4 linked regions of the Saccharomyces cerevisiae S288C genome follow. The gene in region 4 interacts genetically with the main gene of each other region. Each region holds a gene or a part of one and is shown on either strand. Other genes may lie near its edges. The genes, in order: VPS71, GIM5, EAF5 and RPN4.

Evidence for each region.
Region 1: mutations in RPN4 (region 4) and VPS71 together harm fitness more than expected from each alone (negative genetic interaction), as found in Saccharomyces cerevisiae (5 studies listed by BioGRID, with this or other methods).
Region 2: mutations in RPN4 (region 4) and GIM5 together harm fitness more than expected from each alone (negative genetic interaction), as found in Saccharomyces cerevisiae (8 studies listed by BioGRID, with this or other methods).
Region 3: mutations in RPN4 (region 4) and EAF5 together harm fitness more than expected from each alone (negative genetic interaction), as found in Saccharomyces cerevisiae (6 studies listed by BioGRID, with this or other methods).

The regions. Positions count from the first base shown.
Region 1 is NC_001145.3:194,413-200,198, forward strand, and holds VPS71 (Vps71p), read right to left. Parts: upstream 1,344-5,786; coding exon 501-1,343; downstream 1-500. Other genes in the region: carnitine O-acetyltransferase CAT2, read left to right, coding at 1-388; YML040W (gag protein), read left to right, coding at 2,216-3,538. UniProt on the Saccharomyces cerevisiae protein: Participates in the catalytic exchange of histone H2A for the H2A variant HZT1, an euchromatin-specific factor, leading to chromatin remodeling and changes in transcription of targeted genes. Indirectly involved in vacuolar protein sorting.
Region 2 is NC_001145.3:80,637-85,967, reverse strand, and holds GIM5 (Gim5p), read right to left. Parts: upstream 3,694-5,331; coding exon 3,678-3,693; intron 3,595-3,677; coding exon 3,119-3,594; downstream 1-3,118. Other genes in the region: UTP14 (Utp14p), read right to left, coding at 179-2,878; DNA repair protein RAD10, read left to right, coding at 3,855-4,487; YML096W (putative asparagine synthase), read right to left, coding at 4,482-5,331.
Region 3 is NC_001137.3:118,607-124,462, forward strand, and holds EAF5 (Eaf5p), read left to right. Parts: upstream 1-2,864; coding exon 2,865-3,704; downstream 3,705-5,856. Other genes in the region: PXP1 (putative indolepyruvate decarboxylase family protein), read right to left, coding at 11-1,693; SUMO ligase MMS21, read right to left, coding at 1,892-2,695; PMP2 (proteolipid ATPase), read right to left, coding at 4,192-4,323; GTT3 (Gtt3p), read left to right, coding at 5,051-5,856. UniProt on the Saccharomyces cerevisiae protein: Component of the NuA4 histone acetyltransferase complex which is involved in transcriptional activation of selected genes principally by acetylation of nucleosomal histone H4 and H2A. The NuA4 complex is also involved in DNA repair.
Region 4 is NC_001136.10:413,724-418,411, forward strand, and holds RPN4 (stress-regulated transcription factor RPN4), read right to left. Parts: upstream 2,986-4,688; coding exon 1,390-2,985; downstream 1-1,389. Other genes in the region: phosphoglycerate mutase family protein GPM2, read left to right, coding at 230-1,165; oxysterol-binding protein related protein OSH2, read right to left, coding at 3,940-4,688. UniProt on the Saccharomyces cerevisiae protein: Acts as a transcriptional activator of a number of genes encoding proteasomal subunits. Binds to a PACE (proteasome-associated control element) DNA sequence 5'-GGTGGCAAA-3'.

The sequences.
Region 1 (5,786 bases), on a different chromosome or scaffold from region 4:
AAAAGAGCATTCTACGTACCTGAAAAATGCTGCAAATGGTAATGGTGTCGATCGTCATTTCTTCGGTCTAAAGAATATGCTAAAATCTAATGATGACCAAATTCCGCCCCTTTTCAAAGATCCCTTATTTAATTATTCTTCAACTTGGTTGATCTCCACATCTCAACTATCTTCGGAATATTTTGACGGTTATGGTTGGTCTCAAGTAAATGACAACGGGTTTGGACTGGCATACATGTTGAATAACGAGTGGCTGCATATCAATATTGTCAACAAACCAGCCAAGAGTGGAGCCAGTGTTAACAGATTACACTATTATTTATCTCAAGCTGCTGATGAAATTTTTGACGCCTTGGAAAATGAGAATAAACGAAAAGCAAAGTTATGAATTTTTCACCTTTCCTCTTCAATTAATTTGTGAATATTTTTGTTAAGTATCTACACTTACATACGTATAAATAGGGGAGAAAAAAGGGCTTACGAATACATACTGATCATTACTATCTATTTCTGCACCTAGTTTCATTATGCAATTTAAAACAACTTACAGAACAAATCTTATTTCCACAATTAACGCAACTTGAAATACTATCGTAGCCACCGCAAATAGAGCATGTCGTAATTAGGGGTAACACTTTGAAGTATCGTTTATTGTAAACATTGTGGTAAATGACATTCTTATCCATCAAGTTTAGCAGCGCAGAATCTAAAAACGAATGTAAATTTCTTTTTGAACTTAAAACCTTCTTTAACGCCACAATACGATTGGTATTCTTCCTCTTTGGTTTAGGTAGTTTTGTAGATTTATACGATAATTGTATTTCCCGTAAGGTTTCTGGTTTAAGCACCCAACCATGACCATACTTGGAATGCTCTTTTACAAAAGAAGAACCACCCATTAATGCAGAGAGACCATCCGAGGTCTGTGAGATCGGTTTGGTTGTTGATTCAATTCTATCTCGTGGTACGCCTGTGAGATCACTTAATAAAGTCGGTACATTTGGTAAATCCGAGAAATTTTCTGTGTTAAGTTCCATAAACCTCCTGTCCGACTGGAGAATCTCTTGTTGTGTGTACCTTTCTTCAAATGAATGGGAATTCTTACTATTTCGGTCATCCTGTCTGCTTATACTATTGCCATCTCCCTCAGATCTCGAAGTATATAACCTGGCCTCTAAATCTGCCAGTGAGTAGTTTATGCGCTTTACGGGCCTAGAGGTGGATATTGTGCCTTGCTTATTAATCTTCTTTGAAGTATATCGACGTGCTTGAGGATCCAATGACGTGAAATATATGTCAGGATTGTAAGTTTTCTTATCAATCTCTTCAACTAGCGCCTTCATTTCGCTGTTATGAGTAAGCGATCCGTTCTTTTTCTTCGATCTATCAATGATATCGACGTTACTATAGATTGAAAGGGCCGCTTCGACTTTTGTTAATACTCACAAAGATCATCATGTTCATTATAAAAAAAGTAGTTATTAATTATCTATTACCCGGATCAAAGTTATTTCTACAGAACACAAATATTTTATTGATTGCTTCGTTACATAAAGCAACGACTAAATAAATATAAGCTCTCTAGCTATTCCACCGACTTCACTTCCTTAATGAATGGTCGTTTTTGTAATACTCCAAAAAAAATATCAAAAAAAGGGGCGAGCTGGGAATTGAACCCAGGGCCTCTCGCATGCTTTGTCTTCCTGTTTAATCAGGAAGTCGCCCAAAGCGAGAATCATACCACTAGACCACACGCCCTTGTGAACTTGTGAATCTTAGCCACTAAGGAATCACCGAATAGTAAAAGTTTTCTGACAACTACAATATTAAGCCCTTAACAACAATAATGAATATTGAGTGCATAATGTTGAAATGGAACTCTAAAATATCATTTGTTTAGTAGTATTCGTGTTACTAGTTGTTGGAATAGAAATCAACTATCATCTACTAACTAGTATTTACATTACTAGTATATTATCATATACGGTGTTAGAAGATGACGCAAATGATGAGAAATAGTCATCTAAATTAGTGGAAGCTGAAACGCAAGGATTGATAATGTAATAGGATCAATGAATATAAACATATAAAACGGAATGAGGAATAATCGTAATATTAGTATGTAGAAATATAGATTCCATTTTGAGGATTCCTATATCCTCGAGGAGAACTTCTAGTATATTCTGTATACCTAATATTATAGCCTTTATCAACAATGGAATCCCAACAATTATCTCAACATTCACATATTTCTCATGGTAGCGCCTGTGCTTCGGTTACTTCTAAGGAAGTCCACACAAATCAAGATCCGTTAGACGTTTCAGCTTCCAAAACAGAAGAATGTGAGAAGGCTTCCACTAAGGCTAACTCTCAACAGACAACAACACCTGCTTCATCAGCTGTTCCAGAGAACCCCCATCATGCCTCTCCTCAACCTGCTTCAGTACCACCTCCACAGAATGGGCCGTACCCACAGCAGTGCATGATGACCCAAAACCAAGCCAATCCATCTGGTTGGTCATTTTACGGACACCCATCTATGATTCCGTATACACCTTATCAAATGTCGCCTATGTACTTTCCACCTGGGCCACAATCACAGTTTCCGCAGTATCCATCATCAGTTGGAACGCCTCTGAGCACTCCATCACCTGAGTCAGGTAATACATTTACTGATTCATCCTCAGCGGACTCTGATATGACATCCACTAAAAAATATGTCAGACCACCACCAATGTTAACCTCACCTAATGACTTTCCAAATTGGGTTAAAACATACATCAAATTTTTACAAAACTCGAATCTCGGTGGTATTATTCCGACAGTAAACGGAAAACCCGTACGTCAGATCACTGATGATGAACTCACCTTCTTGTATAACACTTTTCAAATATTTGCTCCCTCTCAATTCCTACCTACCTGGGTCAAAGACATCCTATCCGTTGATTATACGGATATCATGAAAATTCTTTCCAAAAGTATTGAAAAAATGCAATCTGATACCCAAGAGGCAAACGACATTGTGACCCTGGCAAATTTGCAATATAATGGCAGTACACCTGCAGATGCATTTGAAACAAAAGTCACAAACATTATCGACAGACTGAACAATAATGGCATTCATATCAATAACAAGGTCGCATGCCAATTAATTATGAGAGGTCTATCTGGCGAATATAAATTTTTACGCTACACACGTCATCGACATCTAAATATGACAGTCGCTGAACTGTTCTTAGATATCCATGCTATTTATGAAGAACAACAGGGATCGAGAAACAGCAAACCTAATTACAGGAGAAATCTGAGTGATGAGAAGAATGATTCTCGCAGCTATACGAATACAACCAAACCCAAAGTTATAGCTCGGAATCCTCAAAAAACAAATAATTCGAAATCGAAAACAGCCAGGGCTCACAATGTATCCACATCTAATAACTCTCCCAGCACGGACAACGATTCCATCAGTAAATCAACTACTGAACCGATTCAATTGAACAATAAGCACGACCTTCACCTTAGGCCAGGAACTTACTGAATCTACGGTAAATCACACTAATCATTCTGATGATGAACTCCCTGGACACCTCCTTCTCGATTCAGGAGCATCACGAACCCTTATAAGATCTGCTCATCACATACACTCAGCATCATCTAATCCTGACATAAACGTAGTTGATGCTCAAAAAAGAAATATACCAATTAACGCTATTGGTGACCTACAATTTCACTTCCAGGACAACACCAAAACATCAATAAAGGTATTGCACACTCCTAACATAGCCTATGACTTACTCAGTTTGAATGAATTGGCTGCAGTAGATATCACAGCATGCTTTACCAAAAACGTCTTAGAACGATCTGACGGCACTGTACTTGCACCTATCGTAAAATATGGAGACTTTTACTGGGTATCTAAAAAGTACTTGCTTCCATCAAATATCTCCGTACCCACCATCAATAATGTCCATACAAGTGAAAGTACACGCAAATATCCTTATCCTTTCATTCATCGAATGCTTGCACATGCCAATGCACAGACAATTCGATACTCACTTAAAAATAACACCATCACGTATTTTAACGAATCAGATGTCGACAGGTCTAGTGCTATTGACTATCAATGTCCTGATTGTTTAATCGGCAAAAGCACCAAACACAGACATATCAAAGGTTCACGACTAAAATACCAAAATTCATACGAACCCTTTCAATACCTACATACTGACATATTTGGTCCAGTTCACAACCTACCAAAAAGTGCACCATCCTATTTCATCTCATTTACTGATGAGACAACAAAATTCCGTTGGGTTTATCCATTACACGACCGTCGCGAGGACTCTATCCTCGATGTTTTTACTACGATACTAGCTTTTATTAAGAACCAGTTTCAGGCCAGTGTCTTGGTTATACAAATGGACCGTGGTTCTGAGTATACTAACAGAACTCTCCATAAATTCCTTGAAAAAAATGGTATAACTCCATGCTATACAACCACAGCGGATTCCCGAGCACATGGAGTCGCTGAACGGCTCAACCGTACCTTATTAGATGACTGCCGTACTCAACTGCAATGTAGTGGTTTACCGAACCATTTATGGTTCTCTGCAATCGAATTTTCTACTATTGTGAGAAATTCACTAGCTTCACCTAAAAGCAAAAAATCTGCAAGACAACATGCTGGCTTGGCAGGACTTGATATCAGTACTTTGTTACCTTTCGGTCAACCTGTTATCGTCAATGATCACAACCCTAACTCCAAAATACATCCTCGTGGCATCCCAGGCTACGCTCTACATCCGTCTCGAAACTCTTATGGATATATCATCTATCTTCCATCCTTAAAGAAGACAGTAGATACAACTAACTATGTTATTCTTCAGGGCAAGGAATCCAGATTAGATCAATTCAATTACGACGCACTCACTTTCGATGAAGACTTAAACCGTTTAACTGCTTCATATCAATCGTTCATTGCGTCAAATGAGATCCAACAATCCGATGATCTTAACATAGAATCTGACCATGACTTCCAATCTGACATCGAACTACATCCTGAGCAACCGAGAAATGTCCTTTCAAAAGCTGTGAGTCCAACCGATTCCACACCTCCGTCAACTCATACTGAAGATTCGAAACGTGTTTCTAAAACCAATATTCGCGCACCCAGAGAAGTTGACCCCAACATATCTGAATCTAATATTCTTCCATCAAAGAAGAGATCTAGCACCCCCCAAATTTCCAATATCGAGAGTACCGGTTCGGGTGGTATGCATAAATTAAATGTTCCTTTACTTGCTCCCATGTCCCAATCTAACACACATGAGTCGTCGCACGCCAGTAAATCTAAAGATTTCAGACACTCAGACTCGTACAGTGAAAATGAGACTAATCATACAAACGTACCAATATCCAGTACGGGTGGTACCAACAACAAAACTGTTCCGCAGATAAGTGACCAAGAGACTGAGAAAAGGATTATACACCGTTCACCTTCAATCGATGCTTCTCCACCGGAAAATAATTCATCGCACAATATTGTTCCTATCAAAACGCCAACTACTGTTTCTGAACAGAATACCGAGGAATCTATCATCGCTGATCTCCCACTCCCTGATCTACCTCCAGAATCTCCTACCGAATTCCCTGACCCATTTAAAGAACTCCCACCGATAAATTCTCATCAAACTAATTCCAGTTTGGGTGGTATTGGTGACTCTAATGCCTATACTACTATCAACAGTAAGAAAAGATCATTAGAAGATAATGAAACTGAAATTAAG
Region 2 (5,331 bases), on a different chromosome or scaffold from region 4:
AATCACCCATCTCACTCAACTTATCCAAAAGAAAGCCAATTGTGTATATAACTTACATAACCTTTAAATGATTTTTTTCTAATTATTCCAGTATTACTATTCTACACAATGCATAATAAATAGATATAAAAAGTGGAATGTGCCACATATGCATTTTTTTACCACCAATAAATATCAGTTACTTAAATGGTGCCTTCAAAGGATCAATAACTTGGCCTGGCTTAGTCATGATTCTCGGTTTGATAAGCTCTTGATGAGATGCTCTGGATGTCCATTCTTGACCTATCGGCATACGTAAAGATCTTTCATATTGTTCTCTATTTTCGAATGGGAATGGTACCGCTGAAGATTGGTATTTCAAGTTTTTCTTATTAACTTTTTCATTTATGATCACATTTTGTAGATTCTTATCTCTTCTTTTGTCTTTATTAACAACACCCTTAACCTTTTTGATGAATTTACGCTTCTTATTTTTTGGTTTAGAACCTGCACCGGCCCATTCACCCCAACCAGGTAAAGTGGTATCAACTTCTTTATCATCTTCATCATCAATGACACGTTTCTTTTCCTCCTGAAATTCTGCTACCACGTCGTCGCCAGCAAAGGCTTCCGCAATGACGTCTTGCTGCTTGAACATGAATACATTATCCCCTTGTTCGTCATCAGAACCACCATATGGATCGACTATCTTTAGCCGTGTAGAATCATCCGCCGTCAACAAGAGATCTTCATCATCGTTTGACTTACCTTTCTTCTTTTTCTTTTGCTTTAGCTCAGCTTTCTCCATTTTGTTCATGGCCTTAACATTTTTAGAACTGTCTTTGTCAATAACGTTAACTTTGGAAGATTGTTTCTTGACAGTGTGTTCTTCATCACTTTCATTAGCTAACCAAGGATTAACATCTTTTGCTTCTTCATCCTGTTGATTATTCTGACCGTCTTGAAGAGGTTCACCATCACTTTCCTCCTCCACAATTATTGCGCCTTCTGCGTTAGTTCTTGCATTTTTCGATTGCCCACTATTCTTGGCCCTTAGTCGGTTTTCCAAACTTCTTGATTCGTCAACTTTATTCTCTTTTCTAGTGTGGTCATTTAGTTCATTCATGTCTTTGTTGGATTCCAAGGAACCTGGGGTATATATTCTTCTGCCCTTATTTATTTGAATATTCTCTCCATTCGTCTCTTCCTCGTCACTTTCGAAGAGCTTAATATCATCACCATTTTCAACGGCCCTTAATTGACGTAAGGTTTCTTTGTTCGCCTCTCTTTCTCTAGCTTCACCATTCTTCATAAAGGCCATATTCATTACGCCAGTTTTACCCAATTTACTCTTCAATGCTTCTGAGTCTATATTCTCTTTCTCCTCATTTTCAACATCACTTAATGTTTGCACACGACCATCCTCTTCATCATCAGAATTTCTATCCAACATTTTTGCCTTTAAACGTTCACCTTGTCTTAGCATCTCTTCCATTTCTTCTCTGGTTTCAGCGTCATTTGTCATACCATGTTTGATCATATCTTTAGCCCACTTGGAATTTGTCTTGTGTTTTAGAGTCATTCTTTCTTTAGCCCTAGCGATATCATGATCTTCGTTGTCTTCGTCGCTGGAAACAGCAGCTAGCTCTCTATTTTTCATCAATTCCTTTTTCTTGATCTTACGATATGTCTTAGATTTTATTTTCTTCAACCTCCTAGCTTTTCTTTCTTCTCTAAACATCAATTCTCTCATCAATCTCATTTCGGTAGTCCTCTTTCTCATCTCCTCGGGTGTCATTTTAGCAGTGCTCAACTCTTCAAACTTTGAGTCTTTTTCTGGGTTCGCTAAATTACTCTCTTGAAGAACTTGATCTACCTTCTCCTGTAATTCTGTTTGAGGAACATCTTGAGTTCTAGTGAAAGCCGAGGCGTGGTTATGTTCGGTGGGTTTGTTCAGCGGGAAGATTAAATGATCAGCCCTTCTGTTCTGTTGGACGATATCATTCCACTTACTCACTTCTTGCCTAGAGATCTCGTATGCTGCCTTACGATCGTGTCTTTGTTGGATACGTTGTGGTAGCGGAACTTCATACGTCGACGACTTACCCTTAAGCAAGTTAGCGTTTTCAATAACTTGCCTGTCATCAATAACGTTCATCATATCCGTCAAACTCAATTTCCCAGAAGCTCCACTAGCTGCATTTGCAGAGGGCAAAACATACTCATTGGCCTCACCTGAGCCATACGTATCTAGTCTCTTTGGAGCTTTACTTTTGGTTTCATCAATCAGTTTTGAGGTAATTGTATTCAATTCGATGTCTTCTTCATCTTCAGATATTTCGTCGAAGGGATCCTCTTCCTCTTCATCATCTTCAGATTCCGATTCGCTTTCTTCGGAACTGCTTGATTCGGAACTTATATCTGTATCTTGCAATTTTAATTGTGGAGAAGCGTCTTCGTCATCATTGCCGTTACTCTGTGCGGTTTTCTCATCCATGTCCCACACTTGAGACAGTGGCATCAAATCTTCTTCATCAATGGAAGTATACCCACCTTCATCCTCTTCTTCTTGGTAGTTTGCATTCTCCTTCTTGTCACGAATAGTTTGTGAGAATTTGGAATTCAAAATGTCATAGTCATCATCAGAGCCCAACGCTTCATCAGAGTTCAACTCCTCATCTTCAAACGACTCAGAATCGATATCATCTTCATCACTGTTAGTGTCACCTTTTGACCTTTTTAACAAGTTGACAACTGTACCATTACGACGAGCATCATGTCTTTTGTCATTGTCGCTGGAGTTATCGAATTCACCATTAATTTCTCTCTCAGCAAGTTGCAAAGCATCCAAAACTCTTCTAGAACTCTTGGATCTGCTCTTAGATTTCTTTTTTGCCATATTTAAGTTAGCTTATTTTGTCTTGAAGCCTCTTTTATTAGTATATAACAAGATGTTATTGAATGCACACTTAATGAATTTTTTCAGCTCATCGCCATAGGAATTTGAAAAATTTTCAATGGCCTTTTCCGGAAAACTACAAAGTGACGATAAATAAAAAATTACGTTGCATATAGATAAACGTATATCAGATGGCTACAAATGAGATATGAAAAATCGTAGGAAAAGCAAAAGAGTTACCTAGGCTGTAGACGACTCCTTTTTTTGTTGCTGCTGTTGTTGTTTACTCATCGCTTCATGCTGTCTAATAGCGGCTTGTCTTATTTGGGCCTCGATGGACAAGGAATACTGGGTCTTTTCCTTAATAATATCTTGGATCTGTACAGATTCTTTGTTAAGCTTGTCTACTTTCTTTTGGTAAAATGCGATTGCTGCTTCAGCGCTCTTTTCAACGTAATATCCTGTACCAATGTCGACCATGAATTTCTTATTGTCTACAATCTTACCTGGGATGTATAATGATGCAGATGCTGGAACCAGTAGTTTTTGCCCTTCATTTCCTGCTTGGGAGACTGTTTTAATATCATCAATACATTCTGTGAACTTGCCCTTAGCCATGGTTAATGCTTGCAAGGACTGTGTGAAATGCTGCAATTCTTGGTCGAATTGCTGTTTTACAGCATTCAGCTGCTCGGGATTTAGTTTAGTTAAATCGACTAAGTTTCGAACATGTAGTAACTTAAAAGTTAGTAAAGTGTCTGTACGGTGGCAACAACGAAGGAGCTATTCATTTACATACTTTTTTGAGAGGACATGGCTTGATTTTTACAGTGCTCTTTCTTGTTTGGGTCACAGCAAGATTTTCATCTAAGACACTTTTCTATTTAAAATCGTTAGAACAAAAAAGAAAATTGTAACTTATGAGACAGCCACGCAACACAAAAAAGGGCATAAACAAAGTTGGTTATCCTAGAAGATGAACAATACTGATCCTACTTCATTTGAAAGTATATTGGCTGGTGTGGCCAAATTGAGAAAGGAAAAGAGTGGTGCAGATACTACTGGATCTCAATCGTTAGAAATAGATGCATCAAAACTCCAGCAGCAGGAACCGCAAACATCAAGACGCATAAATTCAAACCAGGTCATAAACGCCTTCAATCAGCAAAAACCGGAAGAATGGACCGACTCAAAGGCTACAGATGACTATAATCGAAAGAGACCCTTCAGGAGTACTCGACCGGGAAAAACTGTACTAGTGAACACTACCCAAAAAGAAAATCCACTCCTGAACCACTTAAAGAGCACCAATTGGAGATATGTATCTTCAACAGGAATTAATATGATATACTACGACTATCTAGTTCGTGGAAGAAGTGTACTGTTCTTAACTTTGACTTATCACAAATTATATGTCGATTATATCTCTAGGAGAATGCAGCCCTTATCTAGAAACGAAAATAATATACTGATATTCATAGTAGACGATAACAACTCTGAAGATACCCTTAATGACATTACAAAACTATGTATGTTCAACGGATTTACTCTACTTTTAGCATTTAATTTTGAACAAGCTGCAAAATATATTGAATATTTGAATTTATGAACAATTCCTATTTTCTTTTAATAAATCTGTTCCATGCTTATTACCATCCTTTGTCATTTTAGCGCTTTTAGCACCGAATTGAATGGCCCTTTTTGGTTCTGATGATATTCCATCCAACTTCAAATACTGCGAGGCAACTTTTCGAAGGATTAATTTGTTAACCTTGAAATTAATGGGAATTTCTGCTGTAGATAACTTTATAACATATTCATCTAAAAATGGGTATCTCACCTCCACGCCATTATGAGCTATCACTTTATCATCACGATTCAGGTTGCGATCATAAATGTTGTTTATTTGCCTTGTAAGTTCCTCCACAAGTTCATGGGGTGGTTTGTTGGCAAACTTGTGATATCCACCGTAGAGTTCGTCTGCTCCCAGTCCGCTGAATAACACTATCCCATGGCGCTGATATGGCGTTCTTTCCCCATTCAGAGAAGTTAAGAAACCTCTACCTCTCGACGCAAAAAAAAAAGCAATGGCTATAGACAAGTCCATTTCAGTCTGTTTAGGATACATTAAATTGATAACAAATGGCTTCCATTTTAAATACTCATCATAAGGAACGTCAACTTCAACCAGTTTGATATCAACATTAGGATATAAGTTTTGTAAAGTCTTTGCACTGTTAATGGACAGTTTTCTATCAGGTGTATCACTGGGAAAAAGACCAGTCCTGGGGTTTTCGAAGGATACATTTAGAAGCTCTATAACTGGTTTTCCACATTTATAATCATTTTCTTGCAACACCTCGCAGATCAACGCTACTATTACTGAACAATCAATTCCTCCTGAGAATAGTACCGCAATAGGAGAGTTTTCAATATGCCTGGGATGTATGGAC
Region 3 (5,856 bases), on a different chromosome or scaffold from region 4:
TGCATATTTACTATAAACGCGGTTTATTCTGCCAGGCAAAGGCAATTTGCTTTTGTTCGCCAGGCTCAATGATAACGTTGATGACACTTGTTTCTCTTTTAGTCCGAGAAAGCTGCACGGCTTGTTGGAAGCATCTGCTCAGTTCGCTTATTGTGTTGACAAAAAAATCATTGGCACCCAGTCCTTTGCCTACGAGATCGTAACGGCAGTTCTTGCTTAGTGCCGTTGGAGGTAAATCACCCTCTATATCCTTTTCTCCATGGTAAATACCGCTATTGTTCATCACAACGATGACCAATGCCAGCTGACACCTTACTGCCGTTTCAATTTCCATGGCAGAGAATCCAAATGCGGAATCACCCTGAATCAGCACCACATCGAGTTCCGGATGAGATGCCTTGCATGCAAGAGCATATCCGAGCCCAATCCCCATAGTCGCGTTGGTCCCTGCGTCTAAACGGCGCCTTGGAGCGTCTGTAGGGAATGAAATACGCGCAATATCCATAGTATTTGCTCCCTCCGTCACAAGTATTGTCCTGTAATCATCGATAAGAGGCCTCAATGTTCCATAAACCTGGTTGTAATTCAATTGTGCCCCTCTAGTCTTCTCTTTCCTCAATAGACGAGTTTGATTCAGTTGAATTTTCTCTCGTATTTCTTGCTTAACACCACTATACTTCCAGCAGGAATCTTGGCGAGTCAATTCCTCAACTAAAGCGGTTACGCTCAAGCCTATATCTCCCCATATGGAAAGGTCAGCACCAGGTGAGACATTGTTATCCCCCAAGGTTTCGGGATTGGAATCGAACTGGATGAATATGGATTCTGAGTTCCATTTGGGTGAAGTACCAAAATGCAATATCCAGTTTAATCTTGCCCCGAGAACAAGAACAATATCCGCTATTTTCAATGCTTGAGATCTTGCAGATGAAACGTTCAGTGGAGAAGAGTCTGGGACAATTCCCTTAGCCATTGGGGTGGGTAAAAATGGTAGATTGAACGTATTTACTAGTCTGCGGATTTCGTGTGAGTTTTTTACCGCACCCTTTCCAATAACAATCAGAATATTTTTATTTTTATGTTGCAAAATAAGCTGTACGACTTTTTTGATCTTCGACGGATCAGGGCCACATATGTTTGGAGTTAATATCATCGGTAATTCATTTCCTGTACGGTCGTTTCCTTCTAAGGGTTTTTCATACTCAATAAAATCTGCAGGGACGTCTATGTAAGAAACCCCTGCAGTGCCTTGTATACAGTAATTCAAAGCCTTCTGAGTAATCATGTCAATATTGTCAGGGGTTAACTTTCCGGTAAACTTCAAAAATGGGGACAAAAGACTAACTTGATCCAACTCTTGAAACCCGCCTTTATGTATATCACTTTGAGAAGAACTCCCTGCAATTACTAGAAGAGGCCACCTATTACTCATTGAGTTGTATATACCAGCCAGTGCGTGGATTAAACCGGGGCCCCCGACAATAAGTAACACGCCGGGCTTATCACTAATATAACCATAAGCAGAGGCTGCATATGAGGCAGCCTGTTCGTTCCTGCATGGAATGAATTTGATACCGTTGGCAACCATCGTATCCGCTAGTTGGACAATAGGGATGCCCACAATTCCAAAGACTGTGTCGATGCCATATTTTTGTAAAAGTTGAGCGAAGTGTTGGGTAGCGGTCGTGGTCATATTGATGGATGGTTGTGACGGTTTGAATGTAGAGAGTATATTCTTCTTATCACATAAAAGTAACCAATGCCTTTTTTTTCCTTTATATATAATGTGGTTATATACCAACCTTTTGTAAATTTCCAACTTTTTTCTTTAGTTAGCTTTGCTTGAACTTCGGGCCGAAGGGCTCGGATAAGAGAAACAATAATTTTGTTTTCATAAAACATCGATGGCTTGACTACTTCTTTTATCCTGTTCCTGAGATTCTTTCATCTTGGCGATCTTACACCTTAGTTCCATAATAGGGTCTCTTACAAAATCCCTCATTGAAACGACTTGAGAACACGCTGCTTGCGGGCAATCTCTTGTCGTGTATCCTTGTAAATAGTTTTGAATGCCGTCTCTATCGAAGACGTGATTACATTTTCTTGATATCAATGGTGCTTCGTAAGGTTTGCAGGTGATAGGACAAGTCAATTCAATTTTACCACCTTCTATTTGTAGATCGTCTTCGTCTGCGGGGTTTTGCAGATCCGGTATTACACAAGTTGGATCATTCCATATGTACGGCAACACTTTTAGTATCTTGAGTGTATCTGTGTTATTAACCATGGTTGCAGGCTCTGGTGTGGGCATATTTAGATATAATTCAGATAATTTGGGAGCGGTGAGTTCTCCGGTACGATATTTATCCCAGGTAGAAAGGTCGATTTGCGGACAGGCATCTGAGGATTGTTTGAAATTTTTTTTTAAATCTTTAATATGTTCGTCAAATGAGTTGGATTCCGATTCGTATGTCGAGAGGAGTTTGTAGGTGCTAGTAATATCTGCGACCTGCTCTTCAATGCCGATGGTGGAAGGAGATGTAGAATCCACTAATTGATTTATGGTCTCATCAATTTGTTTGTAGCATTGTTGATATATATTTGATAAGTCTCGGGCATGTAAATTATGGAAGTACTTACCTGATTTTGGGTGTAGAGGAACTGACTTGGGTATAGGATTATCGTTCAAGGCCATTTTTAAAGTTATTCTTTTTTTATATAGTCTTGCCTTGGTTTCTTTAACTGACACGATTATTTTAGCAAGTTTTTTTCTACACAGGAAAAGAGGAAGAAAATAACCAGAGAAGCACTGGTAAAAAGATACTTCTGCGTGCCGGAGTAACCAGAATCAAAGGAACGCATAGATGGATAAAGAGGTAAGTGAATTGGTAGTGTTGCAGCTAATACACACTTTAATTTCCAACAAGAATGAAGAACTGGTTAGGAACGGGGGAGGAATCAACATGATTGGGAATAATCTTCGAATATCGCTAGTCAAGTTGACTAACGAAATACAAAACAATTTGCTAATCAACGAGCTGACAAATTTAAGAAGGCAAAGCAACGTGGCAAATGGAAACAGGAAACTGGGCATCAACGATATCCTGACCATAGTTAAGAATTTATTCCCAGAGTACAGAACAACACTAAACGATGGACAACTTAGTCTACACGGTTTGGAAATGCATGATATCGAGAAGCTCCTTGACGAAAAGTACGATCGATTCAAGAAAACGCAGGTCGAACAAATAAGGATGATGGAGGATGAGATATTGAAGAACGGTATAAAGACCGGTGCATCGCAACTGCAACCACATGCAAATGCTGGCAAAAGTGGATCTGCTGGTACCAGTGCTACTATAACTACGACTACGCCACACATGGCGCATTCAATGGACCCAAAAAGAGAAAAACTATTGAAATTATACAGAGATACCGTTCTGAATAAATTGGAAAGTAAAACTGGGAATTTTCAGAAGCTATTCAAGAGTCCCGATGGTAGCATTATCAAGAATGAGATAAATTACGAAGACATAAAGAACGAAACGCCCGGCAGCGTTCATGAACTGCAGCTGATTCTTCAAAAGAGCATAACGGACGGTGTAATGCGAAAGGTCATTGGTACGGACGACTGGAAATTGGCTAGACAAGTGCAGTTTGAATTGGATGATACGGTGCAGTTCATGAGAAGAGCACTAGAGTAAGGAGATAGTAGGCGACACTTCGAAAATCTAAAGTCTTGTAACATTACTATTATATACTATTTTATTAAAAAAATACACACACAATTCTTTAACAGAACAATATATAACAAATGAAGCGACATGTTTCTCAAAAAAAAACATAGTAGGTAGGTAAAAATGGGAAAGAACGGGACAAACAAAACGAAGAGCAGGGTGTATTTGCCCACACACGGCAAACAACATCCATTCACGCCCGCATGCCCAAAACTTTTTTGCGATAAAACGCCCACGCAAATCACATCGTTCCAACAGAGGAATCGAACAGCACAGATACAAAGTAGGAATATAGCACACACACAGGAAAAATTAATTAATTATTAGAAATTAAAAGGGTTGGGGAGAAAAGAGGTCTAATTTATTCATTAATATTCAGTAATTGAAAAAAAAAAAAAAAAGAGGATAACTAAGAGAAAACAACATCAAGCTCGTTTGGCTTGCTAGTGATCGCTTAGAATCTTTGTAAACCTCTTTGTCTAGCTTGCCATTTTCTGTAGATAATGGTAGAAATGATGGCGATACAAGCCAAACCGACTAGAATAAAAACTAAGATAACACCACCTGGTAACGTGCTCATCAACATCTTTGTATAATTGTTATTGTACTATTTATTGTTTTGTATGTATACGATGGAGAAAAAGAGAAAGGAAGAAGGAAGGACGAAAGAGAAAAAACTGGAAGGGAAGAAGAATTGATTTTATATTAACCAAGAGGAAGGAAAGGAAATTGAGTTGTGATTACGGAATTTTAGTTTTTTTCACTGTTTATTTAAACCAAAAGGTGTGGAAGAGAAAGAGAGAAAAAAGTTCTGTAATTCGTTAAGGAAATTAAGTATCCGCGCCGGAAAAATAGCGAGAGGTTTTTTTTGATGCAAAAGCTAGGGAGGGCTGCGGACGGATTTCGAAAACAGCTCAACAGCGTGGTGACGAGTTGCGTCAGGGTGTTGGCCAGTGCTACCGCGGGCGGCGCTGCACAGGGAGTAAGCAGAGCGGGCTAGAGCGCGGTTTTGGAGAGGGCCCGGGCTGCTGTGGTCGTAGGATTGCGGTAATTTAGTGGCTCGCCCTCGTTTGTCGTGCTTTTTCCGAGTTCCGAAACTCTTTCCCGAGCTGTTAATGTGCTAAAAGTGGTAAATCGTATATGATGATATACGTATATGATGATAATTTCCTGCGCGCTACTTGCGTGCATTCGTCACTCATAACAAAAAGAACTACACAATACGTAAACAACGTGCGAAAATATCTATATACAAGGGGAGAAAACAAAAGTGAAAGTGCATTACAGCCCATCACAGATCATTATAATACAATATGCCGACCAAGTCAACTTTTAGTCGCTGGAAGAAGGCGGACCTAATTGACCTGGCCAACAAGCTGGAAATTGACGGCTTCCCCAATTATGCCAAGAAGAGTGATATGATCGATTACCTCGAATCGCACTTGAATCATCTTGAGAAACCTGTGGATTTTAAAGACGACTACCCGGAACTAAGGTCCTTTTATGAGTCGATGACAGTGGACCAGTCAAAGGATGAACGGAACGAATACGGATCCGGATCTGGAAACGGGTCTGGGTCTGGATCCTGTGACACCGCCACAAATGATTCCGATCTGGAGAAAGCGTACATCAAGGAGGATGATGATGAGAAACCGCAATCAGGCGATGAAACAAGCGCGACAAAGCCGCTTTCCAGCAGGAATGCAAATTCAAACGCCAAAACGAACTTCAATTTGTTGGATTTTAGCACAGATAACGACTCGTCCACCTCTGCGTTTACTAAGTTCAAGTTTAACTTTCAGGAATACCTCTCCGATATTAGATACCAAACGCAGAAATTGAATGAAAATGTTCAGGACTATCTTTCCACTATTTCCGCCGTCGATACGATTTTTTCCTTGTTGGAATTCTCTTTTCTGGTGAGAAACATATTAGCCGCCGGGCAGCCAACTTCTTCTTCTTCGCTCGCATCGTCGCTGGAAGCCGCCGTTGCCGCCCATAATAAATATCAATACACGCTCGATTTCTGTTTACCAATACTCACGTGGCTGCTCTTCTTTAGGGGTATTCCAACGTTAGTGTCATACTACATCAACTTCATCCGCTACGACCTGAACAT
Region 4 (4,688 bases):
CATGTTGTTATCACCCCACGACGAAGATAATACGGAGCTCACCGTTTTCTTTTTTTTTCCCTTTGGCTGAAATTTCCCACCAGAACAAACGTGACAAAATTATCTTTGAATCCAAAGTAGCTTATATATATACGTAGAAGTGTTTCGAGACACACATCCAAATACGAGGTTGTTCAATTTAAACCCAAGAATACATAAAAAAAATATAGATATATTAACTTAGTAAACAATGACTGCAAGCACACCATCCAATGTCATGACATTGTTCTTGTTAAGGCATGGACAAAGTGAATTGAATCACGAGAATATATTCTGTGGTTGGATTGACGCTAAGCTAACCGAAAAAGGTAAAGAACAAGCTCGTCATTCTGCCGAGCTAATCGAACAATATTGTAAAGCTAATAATTTGAGATTACCCCAGATTGGTTACACCTCACGTTTAATTAGGACCCAACAGACCATAGAAACGATGTGTGAAGAATTTAAGTTAAAGCCACAACTGCAGGTTGTTTACGACTTTAATAAAATCAAACTTGGAGACGAATTTGGCAGTGATGACAAGGATAATATGAAAATCCCGATTCTTCAAACTTGGAGGCTAAATGAACGTCATTACGGTTCCTGGCAGGGCCAGAGGAAACCGAATGTTTTAAAAGAATATGGTAAGGATAAATATATGTTCATTAGGAGAGATTACGAGGGTAAGCCACCACCTGTAGATCTTGACCGTGAGATGATTCAACAAGAAAATGAGAAGGGCTCTTCTACTGGGTACGAATTCAAGGAGCCAAACAGACAAATAAAATATGAATTGGAATGCAGCAATCATGACATTGTATTACCGGATTCCGAATCTCTTCGTGAAGTGGTTTATAGATTGAATCCTTTTCTACAAAATGTCATATTAAAATTAGCCAATCAATATGATGAATCTTCATGCCTGATTGTGGGCCATGGAAGTTCAGTGAGATCGCTACTGAAAATTCTGGAGGGTATATCAGATGATGACATCAAGAATGTTGATATTCCAAATGGTATCCCCTTAGTCGTTGAATTAGATAAGAATAATGGTCTTAAGTTTATCAGAAAATTCTACCTAGATCCTGAATCTGCTAAGATCAATGCTGAGAAAGTCCGTAATGAGGGTTTCATAAAAAATCCTTAAGGGGGGTAAGTATATAATATAATTGTGTATTTTCCGAAGTATAATGAAAACCAATAGAAAACTTATTATAAGTCCAATGAGGTACTTTAAAAATGTGATATTTATAAGAACATTCCTGAATGCAGATATATGATATATATTGTAAATATATATAGATGTGTATATGTATTTCCATTTTGTGTGAGGTTTTCTTCTTTTATCTCCTATATAATTTGTAACCTTAATTAACCCATGACATAACCAATATTAGCCTTTGCAAATTTTGTAACTTCTTGACGTTGTTCTAACGACAAATCTTCATGCTTCGATTTTATATGCCTTGTTAAAGCATCCAGTCTCGAAAACGTCTTCTGATAGCCCTCAGATCCAAGAATTTTTATACACTCCGAGCAACGGAAGACAATCTTCCTTTTAGCGTGAATGGTATTTTGGTGTCTCGTTAAATCATAGGACCTTGAAAATTGGGCACCACACGGTTCATTTGTAATGAGATTCATTATCTGACACGTAAATATTTCGTTATTACCGTCAGAAGATGACGTATGGGCCGATGGTGATGCAGTCGAAGGTTTCGAATTCGAATTTGTAGATGAATGTGAAGATAAGTGCTTCTTAGTATAATTAATTAGCTTCCGCCTACTAGCATTTGAGCTTACTACAGCTGATGTAGGCTTCTTTATTCTTTCTAATGTGCCGTTTTCATTACTGTTACTAACGCAACTACGGTTACTGGATGATTTTGCTGGTTTCCTTTTACCGGTAGTAGCAGTAGACGGTACGTTTGCCGAGGTTGAGGGAGATGGAAATCTTTCAAAATCAATAGTGTTTTTATTGAGGACAAAACTTTGCTTTCTTCTGTTCTTCAAGAGAGAGATATCGTAGATATCGTCTTCATCAAGATCATTATCCTCATCCTCATCCTCTATCTTCTCATGTCCCCGTTCATCTAACAGATCTTCAGATACAACACTGGAAATGCTGTCCATGTTAGAGTCAACGTAACTGTACTCATTAAATAAATGACTAGAACTCTTGGCACGACCCGTTTTTTGATCTGAGCCAAACATTGAGATTGGTGTAACATCCAATGACAGTAAAGGCTCCTCTTGGTGTTGCTCTTGTTGCAAACAATTTTCTTCTATTTCATCCTCTTCATCATCACTGATATCGTCGTCATCAGAGTCAAATTCATTGTTAAAAATAGCTCTCGCATCCTCATTGTTTATTGCGGCGCTATTATCTTGAAGTGACCACTGCATTTTCGGATTATAATTATCCTCATAGAAAAGCACTTCTTCATCATTACCATATAGATTGTCACCGTTATCGAAAAAATCGTTGGAAATTTTAACATCATAATTGAACGTATTCCGTGTCGGTACATACGGGTCTGATACTTTCATTATATTCTTTAGATTGACGGTCTTCTGCAATGGGGTTTCGCTAGCACCCTTAATCTCGTTTGGTATGAGATGGACATTATTAATCTGTCTATCGTTGGCCGTTGCTTCACTAGTCGTAAAAGAGGTGGTGGTAGTTAAAGTAGGATCCGCGTATTTGTTGAATATCGGGAAATGGTAGGTTTGTTGTGGGGGTATCGAAGCTGCACTCGATTCATTCTGGTGTTGTAATGAATGATTCCACGTAAAAGTGTTGTTTTCCTTGTTCTTATTCACCAACTTATATGGAGTAATACTAGCATTTGGATGATAGTTTTGATAATGACTCGTAAACTGACTGTGACCTGGATTAGTATGGTACAACTCGTCTTCTAAAATATCCGTTAAGGTTCTTTTTAGGCTAAGTTCCGTAGAAGCCATGATTGCTTGAAAATTCTAGAAAACTTTTGAAAAGATACAAATTAGCTATTAGTACTATCTACTATTAGTTCAACTAAAAAGCGGAGTTCTTCCTTGAGGAGAAAAGGATGAACAAAATGGAACTGATCTACTCCTTAAATATTCCACGCCAAGAAGAAAAAAGAGTTTCGGGTTTATCTTTAATTTATATTAGAGATAAAACGTATCCTCCTCCTTGAACGATAAAAAATTATCCGTGTGGGTTAGGCTGCTCATCCCGGGCTTTCCCCAAATTGGGCTTCGAACTATTCTTTCCTTATATAGAATTGCTCTCCTCAACAAGTTTCGCCGAAACGGAACTTTCTAGAACCATCACTGTAAACGGCTATTAGTAATAGCGATCACGTGATTATCCGTGGAAAGGTTCGTACGGGCTGAGGCACCTTTCTTTGAGTTCCACGGAACTTGTTATTACAGGAACAGAAAGGTAGTAAAAAAAGAAGTAACGTCCTCTCAGTGCATATAGTTTGATCTCTATAACAATCCGTAGTTGGTTTTCTCAACAATTAATATTGAATACGTTAGTGATGATTGGTTTTCAACCTCTGCCGCTAATTTAGGCACAGTTCTATCGCAGCCGTAATGGAGGCATTATATAGCACTTTAGCGTCGTAACGAAGGGTTATGGTAACCGCCTAACGATTTTATTTACTCGCTTGTTGCTTGCTTTGTAATTGGTTATATGGATTTCAAAATAATATGGTCATCTGACCATGGTGACATAACCAAAGTGTTCGAAAAGATAACTAAATTGATACATCTAGGAAAACTGAAGGAAATCCCTATTGTTAAGTAAACATACTATATATGCCAAAAGAAACAAATGTGCGGTAGAATAAAATACAATTCAGTACAATAAAATACATTCAAAATACATACAAGTACCAGGAAAAAAGCTCGCATAAAAAAGGCGTGTTAAAAAATGTCACCACAATCTTTCAAATCATGATCTCTTCTTTTAACCCAATATTTGCCCGTATATCTCCAATATTTAGCTTTTGTGATGGGATGAGTATCCCTGACGAACCATTGTGGGTGATATTCAAGGTTATTTTCCTCCCTTTTTCTGCGTGCTGCTCTTTGCTTTTCTTCAACTCTGAATTTCTCATCACCAGCTTCGTCATAACGCCCATCTTCCATTGCTCTTTGATCTGGTCTCAAACGTGTATCTGTGGGGGGTAACCATGGCAATAGATGTGGTTGTGGAGCATTCAGCGTGATAGCAAAAGGTGTTAAATTGAATGGCTCCTCAGGACGGTCGTTTGCCTTCCATATTAAAAACTTCGTTCCGTCATCCGTAGGCCCATTCCCTGCTGATGCAGCGGTTCTAGTTTTCTCCAACGAGAGATCGCCATCTTTTACTACTTTCTTGGCAAAAATAGCTTCATTCCAGTGTCCTCCTAGGATCCACACCTTCTGTTTTTTCTTGTTGTAGACTTCGCCTGTGATTTCATATGCTCCTGATGACCTCCATCCCCTTGCTTTGAAATACAACTTGCAATGATCACCGGTTGTGTGATTGACAACGTTCACTTCACCGTGGTTATCAACTTGTGGATTACCAATGAGAATACCTATAACAGTATTGTTGGGCTTCTTCCAAGTATACAGTTCCTCTTTTTCATTGTCATTTGGACGCAACTTAATGTGCCATAATCCTAAGT